Tamandua tetradactyla: one gene and its partners. Each later gene encodes a partner of the first gene's protein in a complex. Links are inferred from orthologs where the notes say so. Each region holds a gene or a part of one and is shown in the gene's direction. Other genes may lie near its edges. The genes, in order: GTF2E2, POLR2H and GTF2H5.

The links.
Region 2: GTF2E2 (region 1) and POLR2H share a complex: the UniProt entries of both Homo sapiens proteins name them as parts of the TBP-based Pol II pre-initiation complex. The link is inferred for Tamandua tetradactyla from reciprocal best matches to the Homo sapiens genes GTF2E2 and POLR2H.
Region 3: GTF2E2 (region 1) and GTF2H5 share a complex: the UniProt entries of both Homo sapiens proteins name them as parts of the TBP-based Pol II pre-initiation complex. The link is inferred for Tamandua tetradactyla from reciprocal best matches to the Homo sapiens genes GTF2E2 and GTF2H5.

Annotation. Positions count from the first base shown.
Region 1 is NC_135352.1:12,981,899-12,985,646, forward strand, and holds the start of GTF2E2 (transcription initiation factor IIE subunit beta), read left to right. Parts: upstream 1-866; 5' UTR 867-999; intron 1,000-3,748. UniProt on the Homo sapiens protein: Recruits TFIIH to the initiation complex and stimulates the RNA polymerase II C-terminal domain kinase and DNA-dependent ATPase activities of TFIIH. Both TFIIH and TFIIE are required for promoter clearance by RNA polymerase.
Region 2 is NC_135336.1:2,713,757-2,717,504, forward strand, and holds the start of POLR2H (DNA-directed RNA polymerases I, II, and III subunit RPABC3), read left to right. Parts: upstream 1-1,364; 5' UTR 1,365-1,766; coding exon 1,767-1,839; intron 1,840-3,324; coding exon 3,325-3,408; intron 3,409-3,491; coding exon 3,492-3,585; intron 3,586-3,748. UniProt on the Homo sapiens protein: DNA-dependent RNA polymerase catalyzes the transcription of DNA into RNA using the four ribonucleoside triphosphates as substrates.
Region 3 is NC_135328.1:150,966,707-150,970,454, forward strand, and holds the start of GTF2H5 (general transcription factor IIH subunit 5), read left to right. Parts: upstream 1-1,510; 5' UTR 1,511-1,622; exon of another isoform or gene 1,623-1,726; intron 1,727-2,403; 5' UTR 2,404-2,436; coding exon 2,437-2,471; intron 2,472-3,748. UniProt on the Homo sapiens protein: Component of the general transcription and DNA repair factor IIH (TFIIH) core complex, which is involved in general and transcription-coupled nucleotide excision repair (NER) of damaged DNA and, when complexed to CAK, in RNA transcription by RNA polymerase II.

The DNA of each region.
Region 1 (3,748 bases):
TTTGACCAACATGTGTCATGTATTATCTAATTAAATCTTCACACAATGTAAATAACCCATTGTGTTAATTTTCCCAAATAAGTTATTATTTTCCCAATAACTTAACCTAGACACAGGTTAAGTTATTTGAGGAGTAACCAGTACTAAGTAATTAAACAACGAGAGTGGTTAAGCATCGTCTTGGCTGCAACTGTAGGTTATAAGAGAGAGGAAAGGACAGCCCCAGGAAGTCTGATCTCCAGCACATTGCACCATGAGGGCAAGGCCGAGGATCTTTTCCCTTGCTTTATGTCCACTCCTTTATGTTGCCTGCAAAATCCGAAATGCTTTCCCACAGAGTTCAGAGTTGTAGTGGAAAAAACCCTGGTTGGGAGTTCAGAGACTGGGACAAATCCTCCACTTCAGGAGCTGTCTTTGCTAGCTGTGCCGTCTTGAGCAAATCATTTAGCTTCACTTTAAAAAGAAACGGCTGGGACAATGTACTCAGAGGTTCAGGTGCTGAGGACTGGCATTTGAGGTAAAGTCACAGTAGCCTTAAATCTCTGCAAAGGAAATATATTTCTTCCATATTCCTTTGTGCGGCCCCATCCCGCGCCGGCCCCAAGTCTGGTTCTCAGTCCCACTACCAGCCACCCTCCCGTTGTCATGGAGATCTGAACGCCCGAGAAAGGCTGAGTCCCCGCCCCAGGTACCTGTGGCCTGGCTCGCGAATGCGCACGCGCGTTCTCGGCAGCGCCGGCGCCGCGGTGGTTGCTGGGACTCTGCTCCTAGCAGCCCGATCAGGAAGTGGCGGGCGGAGCCCCGGGTCGCGTCGCCGCCTCAGCCGCCGCCGCCAGTGCCGAGACCCCGGCGAGCGGGTCAGCGCTGGGTGCGCGCGCGGGCAGGCGGGGGCGCTGACGAGGAGCAGGAAGGGGCGGCCGCGCCGGTGTGGGCGGCTGGCCGGGGCGGAGGTGCCCGAGAGGCAGCGGCGGGTCGCGTGGGGCGGCCCTCCTGGCTCAGGTAGGGGCTCTGGCGGCCGGCAGTGGGGCGCGGACCCCCAGCCTGTGGTTCCTCGGGACTGAGGGGGGCGGGAGTGTGTTCCACCTCCCCGGGAGGCTGGGGTGCCGTCCTCTGTTCGAAACTCCTCTAAACACTGTAACGATTCCGTGGGAGCATTGTCCTTTAGGCCGGAGCGTACATTTAGCAAACTTTTGGGTTGGAAAGAGGGAAATTCGCAATCGGACGGCTGATTTGTTCCTTTGAGTGCCTTCAAGTTTACACCAGAAGCATTTAAGCGAACTTTGGTATCCAGACAAATAAAGGCTGTGATTTAGACACATACTCGTCCACGGACTATTTCTTAGGCTGGCTTTTGGAGACCTAGTTGGTACTGACTTTTCAAGTTTAATTCTCATAGTTTTGTGCAAAGGCTAAAGACTTTTTTGTAAAGCAGAAAAGCTGCGATGCCTTTCCGCGCACCTCTACATTTCTGTCGTCTGGGAGGGAAGCAGCTTCCTCTCAGCCCGCCGGCTGTTCGTAGCAGGGTGCTTGGGTGTCAGTGGCACCCTCGAGGTTTAGTCGGGGGAAGCAGCAAAACAGAAGAGTAGAAAGGTTGAAAGAGGTCGGATGGTGTAGTGGAGAGGACCTGTGCTTTGGAGCCAGAAGATTTTGGTTTAGTTTTTGGCTTCTCGATGTTCATCCGTGGAAGAATACAACAGCAAACGGAACCTGTGGGGTGGTCATCGTGGTTTTTTTTAAATGTAAACATGTGGGTGGGGATGTGTCCAGTCTGATCGAGATGTAAACCTCAATGGAAATGTTTTTGTAATCCGAGAAAAGGGAAGAAGTGGAGAAAAGTTAGGAAGAGCATGCAGTGGTGAAAGAAAGAGATCGAGAAGGTGCCACCCAGGTCGCCTTTGTTTGGAGGCCTTGACCTGCTTTCCAGGTCTGGTGTAAAGAGCACTTAACCAGGAGTCAGGAGATTCGGGTCCTAGCCCTTTTTTTCCAGCTGTGTCGCCTTTGCTGTACCTCTTCACTTCAGATTTCACATATTAAAGGAGAAATAAACCTGATGCTTTATTATTTCATAGAGTTGTGAGGATCAAAGACAGTAAGCCTTTAGGTCTTTGTGAACAGTAAGGCTTTATTTAAACTTGTGTCAAAATCGTTATTAAAAGCTCAGATTTATTATGTTTGTAGGTGAAATGAACAATAAAAATTGAAATACAAATGCTTCCTGTTTTAGGAGATTACGATCTGCTTGTTGCCCCTACCATGTCACTTGTGAATTCTCATTCCTTATTCTCATACTGACACTTTCCCTCTTCCCAAAATATTCTCCTCCCTGCCTTGCCCCAGTATAGCCATTCTGTTATTTATTTCCAGATCCAATTCAAATAGTAATACTGTAGTGATGACCTTTATGTATATAGCATGGAGCTTGAAGTTTTTAAAAATTGCATTCAAAAACATTTTTTCATTTTGTCCTTATAATTGGGCCAAACATAAATAGTGCTGAAAGTATCCTCCTTTTACTTATGGTAAAATTGGATTTAGAGAGGTCTAGGGGATTGCTTAGGGCCATGCGACTCTGGGAACTGAAACTGAGACAAGAGGGCTGGCCTTTGACTTTGGGCCCAGTGACTTCACTTTTTACTTAACCACTTTTTGCTTAACTCTGTTGCTTATCGACACTTGTGTTTTTAATACTCCGAATCACATTTTATTTATTTATTGCTTTTTATGCACCATGCTTGTTTACCTTTGTGTTCTCAAATGTAAGCTGCTTGAGGGCAAGGATTTATCTTCCAGACCTTTTAAAACTTTGGAGCACAATGCCTCACAAACAGAAGATGTTTAATAAAACATCTTGTTGAGACCAGTAATCCTAAGGCTAGAGCAATTTAATGATTTTTAAAATTTGTTATTCACTTAAATATTTATTGAGCTACCTTGTGCTTAAAACCTTTCAGTGTTTGAGATGGAATCCTTTTTCTCCAGGATCTTACTGAATTATGAATACTAATCTTAACAATGTCATACTCATTCACATAGCTTGAGCTCTTTCTAGATCCTCTGCAGGCATCTATGAAGATTTCAGACAAGAGAAGAATGTTTTTGTAAATTCTTGTTTATTGATCTGTAGCTTCCTGGTTTAGCTAAAGTTTTTAGACTTGTCGAATTTTAGAATTGAGAAAAATCCCTGAGGGGCTAATTTAGTCCAAGCCTCCCAAATCAGGAATTTTCTGTAGATATTTCTAACAGATACTCATCTAGCCTCTTCATCACTAGTTAATTGAGAGTTCATCAGTTTTTAAGGTACATAGTTTCATATATAAGCACTTGAGATTACCCTTTCTCTCTCTTTTGTTTTTGTTTGCAATGGGCCTAAATCTACTTCCTGATTTTTTCTGCAAAGTCCTGATGTTGTTTTCTAGTGCAATGTTAAAAGAAACAGGTGAAATGAATTTTAATATTCTATTTAACCCAGTATATCTAAAATATCGTTTTAACACATAATCAATGTAAAGTATTTAGGTGATTGTTATATTTTCTTTGAAATCTGGTGTGTGTTTTACACTTAGAATATATCTCAATTTGGTCTAGCTACATTTCAGGTTCTCAATTGGTACGTGTGGTTAATGACTACTACCATACTGGACAGCACAGCTGTAGAGTTTAAAAGAATAATTTTACTTCTTTTTTCACTCCCTAGCACAGTCCTTGGCACATAATAGGCACTAATTAAATATGTGTTGGATGAATAAAT
Region 2 (3,748 bases), on another chromosome or scaffold:
GGAGAGTGCGGCGCGCCCCAACCGGGCGCCCTGGCGGAGCCTCCCGCTCGCGTCCCCTCCCGGGCGGGCGGGCCGGGGGCGGGGTCCTGTGCGCCGCTAGAGCCCGGCCCAGCGCAGTCGGGGTCTGCTTTGGGGCCGCCTTCCTTGGCTCGGGAGGGGCGGCCGAGGGCGCGGGGCCGTGCGAGCACCCGGGGCTGGGGCGGGGGCCGGTCCGCTGGCACGTGGAGGAGTCGGCGACCGTGAGGCCGACTGGCCTGGAGTCGGGGGCTGTTGGAGCTGTCTAAAGGAACCTAAGGAGCGCCGTCCTCTCTGCTCCGGCAGGGGTGGGGGTGGGGGTGGGGGTGGGGGGTGGCCCTAAAGGCTCGGCTGGGCCTGGATAGACCTCTCTAAGGGGGCATTTTGGACAAAAGAGCGGTGGGGAGGGGAGGTGCTTCTTGGTACCGAGACCCTGGGGCTCCGTCCTCCTCCCCTTCCTCCGGACCCCCGCCTCTCGGAGGTGCACTTGGAGGAACCTGGCCTGGGGGTGGGGGTGGAGTGGCTGACGAGGTAGGGAGGGATTGGAGAGGGGTAAGGCCCGCGGGAAGGGAGAGCTGGGTGTCGGAGCGGCCACTCCTGGTTGGCGGGCGTGGGGGGCAGAGGTCGCTTCTCCCCCGCTGGGCCCTAAGAGAAGCTCGAGGAGCTGCTCACGTCTCGCCACCCTAGGGGAACGGCCTGCGGGGGCTTGGTGTCCCCTGTCAGGGTCCGGGGAAAGATAGGGTACAGAGTTGGGGAAGCCCAACGGTGGATAGGCAATACCAGAGCGAAGTTAGTGAGAGGGCGAGGGCAGTTAGGAAAGGGGTAGCATACGGGACGGAGCAGCACCAGGATGAAAGAGGCAGAGAGGGTGCGCAGGGGGAGGGGAGCCAGCCCCAGGAGGAAGGGGCAGTGCGAGGAAAGAGCTGGTAGCCAAGAAGAGGATTGTGCCGAGATGCAGGGGTATACAGGAGATCAGTGTCCAGAGGGAGAGGGCAGTGGTGGGGGAATGGGCATCATCCGGCTTGAGGGGCAATTCTCCGGGGAGGGCGGCCGGGGAAGCGAGCAGGGCCCAGGACAAGAGAGCAGTGGTGGGGAGGGGACAGTGCAGGTTTTCCTTTTCCCTGTGGTGACATCACGGCAAATTCCCAAACCGGACGGACCCGGCTCAGGTGACGTCTAGCAGGGCAAGCCGGTCCGGGCCGCCCCGGGGGACCTCGATCCCAGCTGGAGGGCCTGGGCACGGCGCCTTGCCTAGCCAGTGCCCCCGAGGCGGGGTTCTGCTCCGCCCGCCCTCGGGGCGGACTGTGCCCTCGGCAGACACGCGGACCGGCAGGGTAGGGCTAGGGCCGGGCTTCTCTGGGCCAAGGATCAAGGTCCCAGTCAGAGGTATGCCTCCACGCTTTCCCGCCTTCGCAACCGAGAGTCTGAAGAGGGCGCAGTGGAGACCAGGCCAGCTAGAGAACTCGCACCACCTCTGCCTCGGTCAGGGGCGGGGCCAACCGGAGCCCCGCCCCCCAGTCCTGGAATCTCTCGGATGCTATTACTGGGAGCGGAAGTTATGAAGCCCCGAGAGGAACGCGACGGAAGTAGAGGCACTATGGCCAGCTTTGCGCATGCGCGACGCCCTGGCTCCCGCTGTTTAGGCGCTATCCTTTTCCTTCCACTCTTCTAAAATCCACACGAGGGGGTGTGCGGACCCCCAGTCGTGGTCGCGCATCCGGCACCCCCGCTGCTCTCGTGGCCTTTTCACGATGGCGGGCATCCTGTTTGAAGATATTTTCGATGTGAAAGACATTGACCCGGAGGGCAAGAAGTTTGACCGAGGTAAGGATTGCCGGCGCGCTTGGAGGGGAAGGGGCTATAGCCCTCCTCTGCGACACGCCCCCGGGTCCCCCGTCTCGTCCTGACTTGCGTGGCCTGCCCTTACCGGCAGGCCGTGATGTAGGGGACCTCCCTTAGGAAATTGTTGTTTGGAAACAACAACATTATTGTTTTTATTGTTGAGGAAACTTAGATTGCGAGTTCTCCCTGGCTTCACACATGCTGTGCCCAGTGCCTGGGTGGCGTTTTGTCACGGTGCAGATTGGTTATCTTTCGTAATTATAATCGCTCCCTCTGTGTTCAAGTAGCCATGTTTCTTGAAGATGATTGTATAATGATATAGCTTTTGCAGTGTGACTGTGTGATTGTGAAAACCTTGTGTCTGATGCTCCTATCTACGGTATGGACAGATGAGTAAAACATAGGGATTAAAAATAAATAATAGGGGGAACAAATGTTAAAATTAATTTAGTAGATTGAAATGCTAGTGATCAATGAAAGGGCGTGATAAGGGGTATAGAAAAAAATAGGGGAAACAAAGGCTAAAATATATTGGGTAGATGGAAATACTGGCGGTCAGTGGGAGGGGCGGTTAGGGGTATGATATGTATGAGTTTATTTTTTTCTTTTTCTGAATTGATGCAAATGTTCTAAGGAATGATCATGGTGATGAATATACAACTATGTGATGATATTGTGAGTTATTGATTATATATCAAGAATGGAATGATCGTATGGTAAGAATGTTCGTTTTTGCATGTTGTTATGTTTAAAAAAATAAAAAAGTAAAATAATAATAATAATAATCGCTCCCTGCTCTGCTACGCTTTCCATTGTGCACCTCACACACACTTTATCTTACTCATTCCACAGCCCCCATGAGGTAAGTGGTGACTTCTGTATTTTGCCGGAGAGGTTAAATAACCCACCCTAGGGTGCACAGCAAATAATCTGAATTCTGAGTTTATATTGTATTGCCTTCAGAATCCTTAGCTGTTTGTGAAGTCCTCTCTGAGTTAGTTAACTACTTGGTATAAATGTTCTGTCACTGATCAATAATTGTTTCTCCTTGGTGTCTCTTCCTTTGCCTGGAGACCAAAATGTTCTTTCAGGTGCACACCAGTCCTTATACATCCTGGCAATCCTCTCAGCACATAGCCTAACACAGAAAGACTAAACCTGTGGATGAATGAATACGTTGCCCAGTCAGGTAGTTTCTTACCTATACAGGGCTAGAACCTGGATATTATTCCCTGCCAGAGGACCTTTGATTCTCTTCGGGGGACTCCATTTCCTAGCCATAGTTTTCATCCCCTTTTCCTTCTTGCATATCTGGTTCTGGTGGAGCCTGTACTTCTATGAGAGTGGAGGAGACGCCAGTGAATGCAGAGCAGCTGGGTTCGATTGTGCTCTGTCGCATATAACCCCCAAAGTGGGTCTGTTCTGGGCATGGCAGTTACTTCTGCCCTCTTTTTTCACTCCCCCCAGTGTCTCGACTGCATTGTGAGAGCGAATCTTTCAAGATGGACCTCATCTTAGATGTAAACATTCAGATTTACCCTGTAGATTTGGGTAAGTGTTGTACACAGATAATAGCAAGGGACTTTTTGATGTTACAACTTGTTTTCATGCTCGTATATTGGCGTTATTTCCAGGTGACAAATTCCGATTGGTCATAGCCAGTACCTTGTATGAAGATGGTACACTAGATGATGGTGAATACAACCCCACAGATGACCGGCCTTCCAGGTGAGGGAGTTGAGAAGAGGCTAATTGAAATACCCTCTGAGGACGAGTAGATAAAGTGGCGTAGAAAGACCCTTATTTAATTCATGGAATAAATGATTATCAGCAGAATCTGAGTAACCTCAAGGAAATTGCTGCATTTAAGAATTGAGATAGACAGGTATTT
Region 3 (3,748 bases), on another chromosome or scaffold:
TATATTCATTCCACATGGATACCACATATCTCAGCACCATTTACTGAATAGTCTGCTTTCCCCCTGCCTTATAATACCATTTACTGGAATACTAAGCTCCCACAGATGTACATGTAGGCTCTCTATCCTGTTCAGCTGGTCTACTTTCTATCCCTGAAGCAATACCTTTATTTTGACTGCTGTTACAAATTACACCTTTTTATGCTATTAAAATTTCCAGTTATTGCAGGCCTACAGAAGTAACGTTCACATTCAGCAATTTTCCTGAAGGCCATTTCTGACATCCCCTAAGCAAAGTAACCCTTTCGTTACTCTGTTACACACTGCCACCTGATACCTTCTTGTTAACTGATTTGTTTGGTGTCTCCCTTCCCCTACTAAAATTAGTTACTGGTTTAGTACTGTATCCCCAGCATCCAGAATAGTGATGGCACATAAAACAGGAGCACAAAAATATTTGCTGAATACATGGATGGAGGTTTTAAATCTAGATCATCCAGAGAAATTCAAGTTTTTTCAAATGAGAATGAGAGATAAGAACTAGTTCAATTTACGAGGCCGAATTTAGAGTGCTCACAGTACATTAAAGTGCAGGTACTGCACTTTACCAGCTACTGGAGCTCAATAGTGGCTGTTCAACGTGATGGAACTAATGAGATGGTCAAGAAAGAGAATGTAGACCAGAAAAGGAAAAAGCAGATTTTAAAGAGAGCAAGCAATGACATGGAAACCAACAGGAGGAAAAAGATTTGAGGGAGAGAAAGAAAAAGAAAACCTAGGAAAAGCTAGGTTCCTAAAAGATCTCATGCGCTTAACTAGGGGAAGTATAATTTAACCTAAGGCAGAAAGCAAGAACCTCGTATCTCACTTTGTTAAAAAAAAAAAAAAAAAAAATTAAAGAGCTCAGACTACAGATCAGAATTCGGAGAAGGGATTAATTTTAGAACCTTTTGGCGTCTTTCACCTCAAAATTACCGTTACCCAGGTTTGGACACCTCACAACATTAAAGCTATTCAATCACTGGGGTCAGAGCGTGAACAAGAGGCTGTCGTACGGAAGACTGAGATTTGAATGATTAAATTGTCTCCTCTTTGTCAACATGTCTTCCTGACTACAGAGCCCAGGCTTATGCTACTGGCAGGTGCTCTACTCTGGGGGAGAAAAGAGATGAGCAGCTAGTGAGAGAGAAGAGCCAGGCTTCCAAGGTCCGGAGAGAGACGCTCGCGCCTTGCGGCCGATGTCCGCGGTCAGTCCAGACCTGCGCCTGGGGTTCGGGTCCGAACCCTGCCTTCCCACGCCCGCCAGGACCGCTCCCACAAGCCCAGCCCCAACCCCTCCTACCTGCACAGCGCAGACTCTGCCCGCCCCCAACCGTTCACTCCGGCACCCAGTCGCTGGGGTGAGGAGGGAAGGCGCGGAGCCCACCCTCTCCGCCACTGGGAGCCAGCACCCTCCTCCCAAGTAGCGCGAGGCACGTGATCCCACCCCCGCAGACCGGGCCGGGTATTCGCTCCGCCTCCCGCCGGCGCGCTCCACCCTCAAGAGCGTGGTGACGTGCACGTTGCTCACACAGTCGTACTCCGTCTGCGACGCCGAGGCTCGGCTGCGTCTGTAGGTGGAGGTGCGTACTGGGCCTTGGAGTAAATGGGTAGAGTGGGGTACGTGGGAAACGATGGGATCCGAAAACTGAAGAGAGTTGGGGAAAGCCACATATCTGCTCTCCAGGTACTGGGTTAGTAGCCAGGGTCCCCACCCGCTCTGGGTCTTTCCTGACAAGTTCGGGTGGCCGTTTTTGTAGGCTTTGTTGCAGTATCATAGATTTATTTTGGAGCATGCATTGCTCCGCGCCCAGATGAAAAAGTGCGAGGGTTTAGTGGGCGTACGCTGTTGATTTCCTTCAAATGCAAATCCTTGAGGGACGTAGTTTGGTGAAAGACCTAGCTTGTACATTTTTGCCCTTTTTTTTTTTTTTGGCTGGAGCTGCTGCTTAATCTCATCGCCAGCTGTGAAATGAGATTCTTGGGCTTACTATATAGTTTTTAAGGCCCATTTCAAAACTACCATTCTGTGATTCCTGCCTCCCAGGATCTTAGCTGTTATACTTCTGGGTGGGAAAGTAAATCTCTCCAGTAATGGATATGTTTTAAACCTGGGTTGGACACACTGGTGTGGAGTTAAACATGTTGCTTTCATTATGATTAATTGACATTGGGTAAAATAATATAAAGAGACTCGTTTTAATCTTGTTAAAAATTCAGAATCTCAATCTGTTTCTTAATGTTGGCACTTTTATCTTTCATGGACTTAAATATTATATATTGACATTTAATATTTGAAATGAGGGAAATCTCAAAGTATAGCAACTGATGTTCTTTAATTTTGTCATCTCTCCCTTTTATTAGCATTCTTGAAGTCATTGCATCTGAGTGGGAAAAATGGTCAACGTCTTGAAAGGAGTGCTTATAGAATGGTTAGTAGTTTTGATACTTTGTGAGTTTTAAAATCTACATACTGAATTTGATTTATATGTATTCGTCTAAAATCCTATCCATTTTTTTCTTTTAATATCAATGAAATAAAATCTTTTCCTACTTCCTCAACTTTTGTTTTCTTACTTACATAACAAATGGGCAGTTTTTGTTGCTAAATTCATTCCTGGTGCCACATTCCAATGTCTCTGTTAAATTAATATAATTGGGATTATTTTCAACAGTTTATATAATCCAAGGCATCTTTATTTGTTAGATTAGCACTCTTTGGAGAAACAGGCCTTGTAAACCCCTCAAATCATCAGATTGAATAGAATTTTAGGGACCGCAGTAGTTCAGGAATTCGCCTAAATCTTCACTATTTCAAACTGCCATCTTAAAAAAAAGAAAGGAAGAAAGAAAAACAACAGAACCAGTTGAAGAAAGTTTTTTGAATGCCTTTATACAAATCCCAGAGGAGAAACTAGAAACCGTAATGGGCTGAATTCCGCAAAGTAATCTAACACAGGGCTTAGTTTTAACACAGGTTCACCTAGTCTTAATCCCTGAACTGCTGGATCAGTCTGGCTCTGTCTCCACTTGCCAGTTTGGCCACCAGGAATTCTGTCTCATCTGGGAACACTGCCTTGTGGACCCTCCCATTGTTTCAAATACTATTTACTGTGCTTTGTGCCCCTAAAATGATATAATCTCATGCTTAGCTAAATCACCTCTCTGAAGTGAGCAATAACATTGTGCAATTCAAGGAACTCCAGATAAATAGTTTGCTATCTTGGGAGCTTAGATTTTTGTCTATTTGGTTGGAAGGTCAGAATGATAAAAGTGAGACTGGCGAGATTGGCAGAGCCAAATCATGAAAAAGAAAAAAAAAAAAGCCTGGTATTCCATGCCTTTAAATCTCTTAAGTGTTTAAAACCCAAGAGTTAACCTGATTAGATTTCCTGCCTTGTGGAGAATAGATTAGAGAAGTGATCAGCTAGAGTCAAGGATATCAGTAAGGATAAGCTATTGCAGTCTCTCAGATAACAAATGGCAGTGGCCTGAGCTAAAATGATGCTTGTCTAAACCTTAAGTAGATTCCTCCTTCAGCCATTTATGTGGCTAACCCACAACTTTTCCCACGTCAAGAAATTGATAGAGGAAAAAGCTATGTTGGTTATATATCAGCAGCTATGAGGTTAGTAAAACTCAGAAACAATTAAATGGCCTCATTTTTCCTGATTTACAGGGCTTTTTGGCATATTTCATACATTCAACA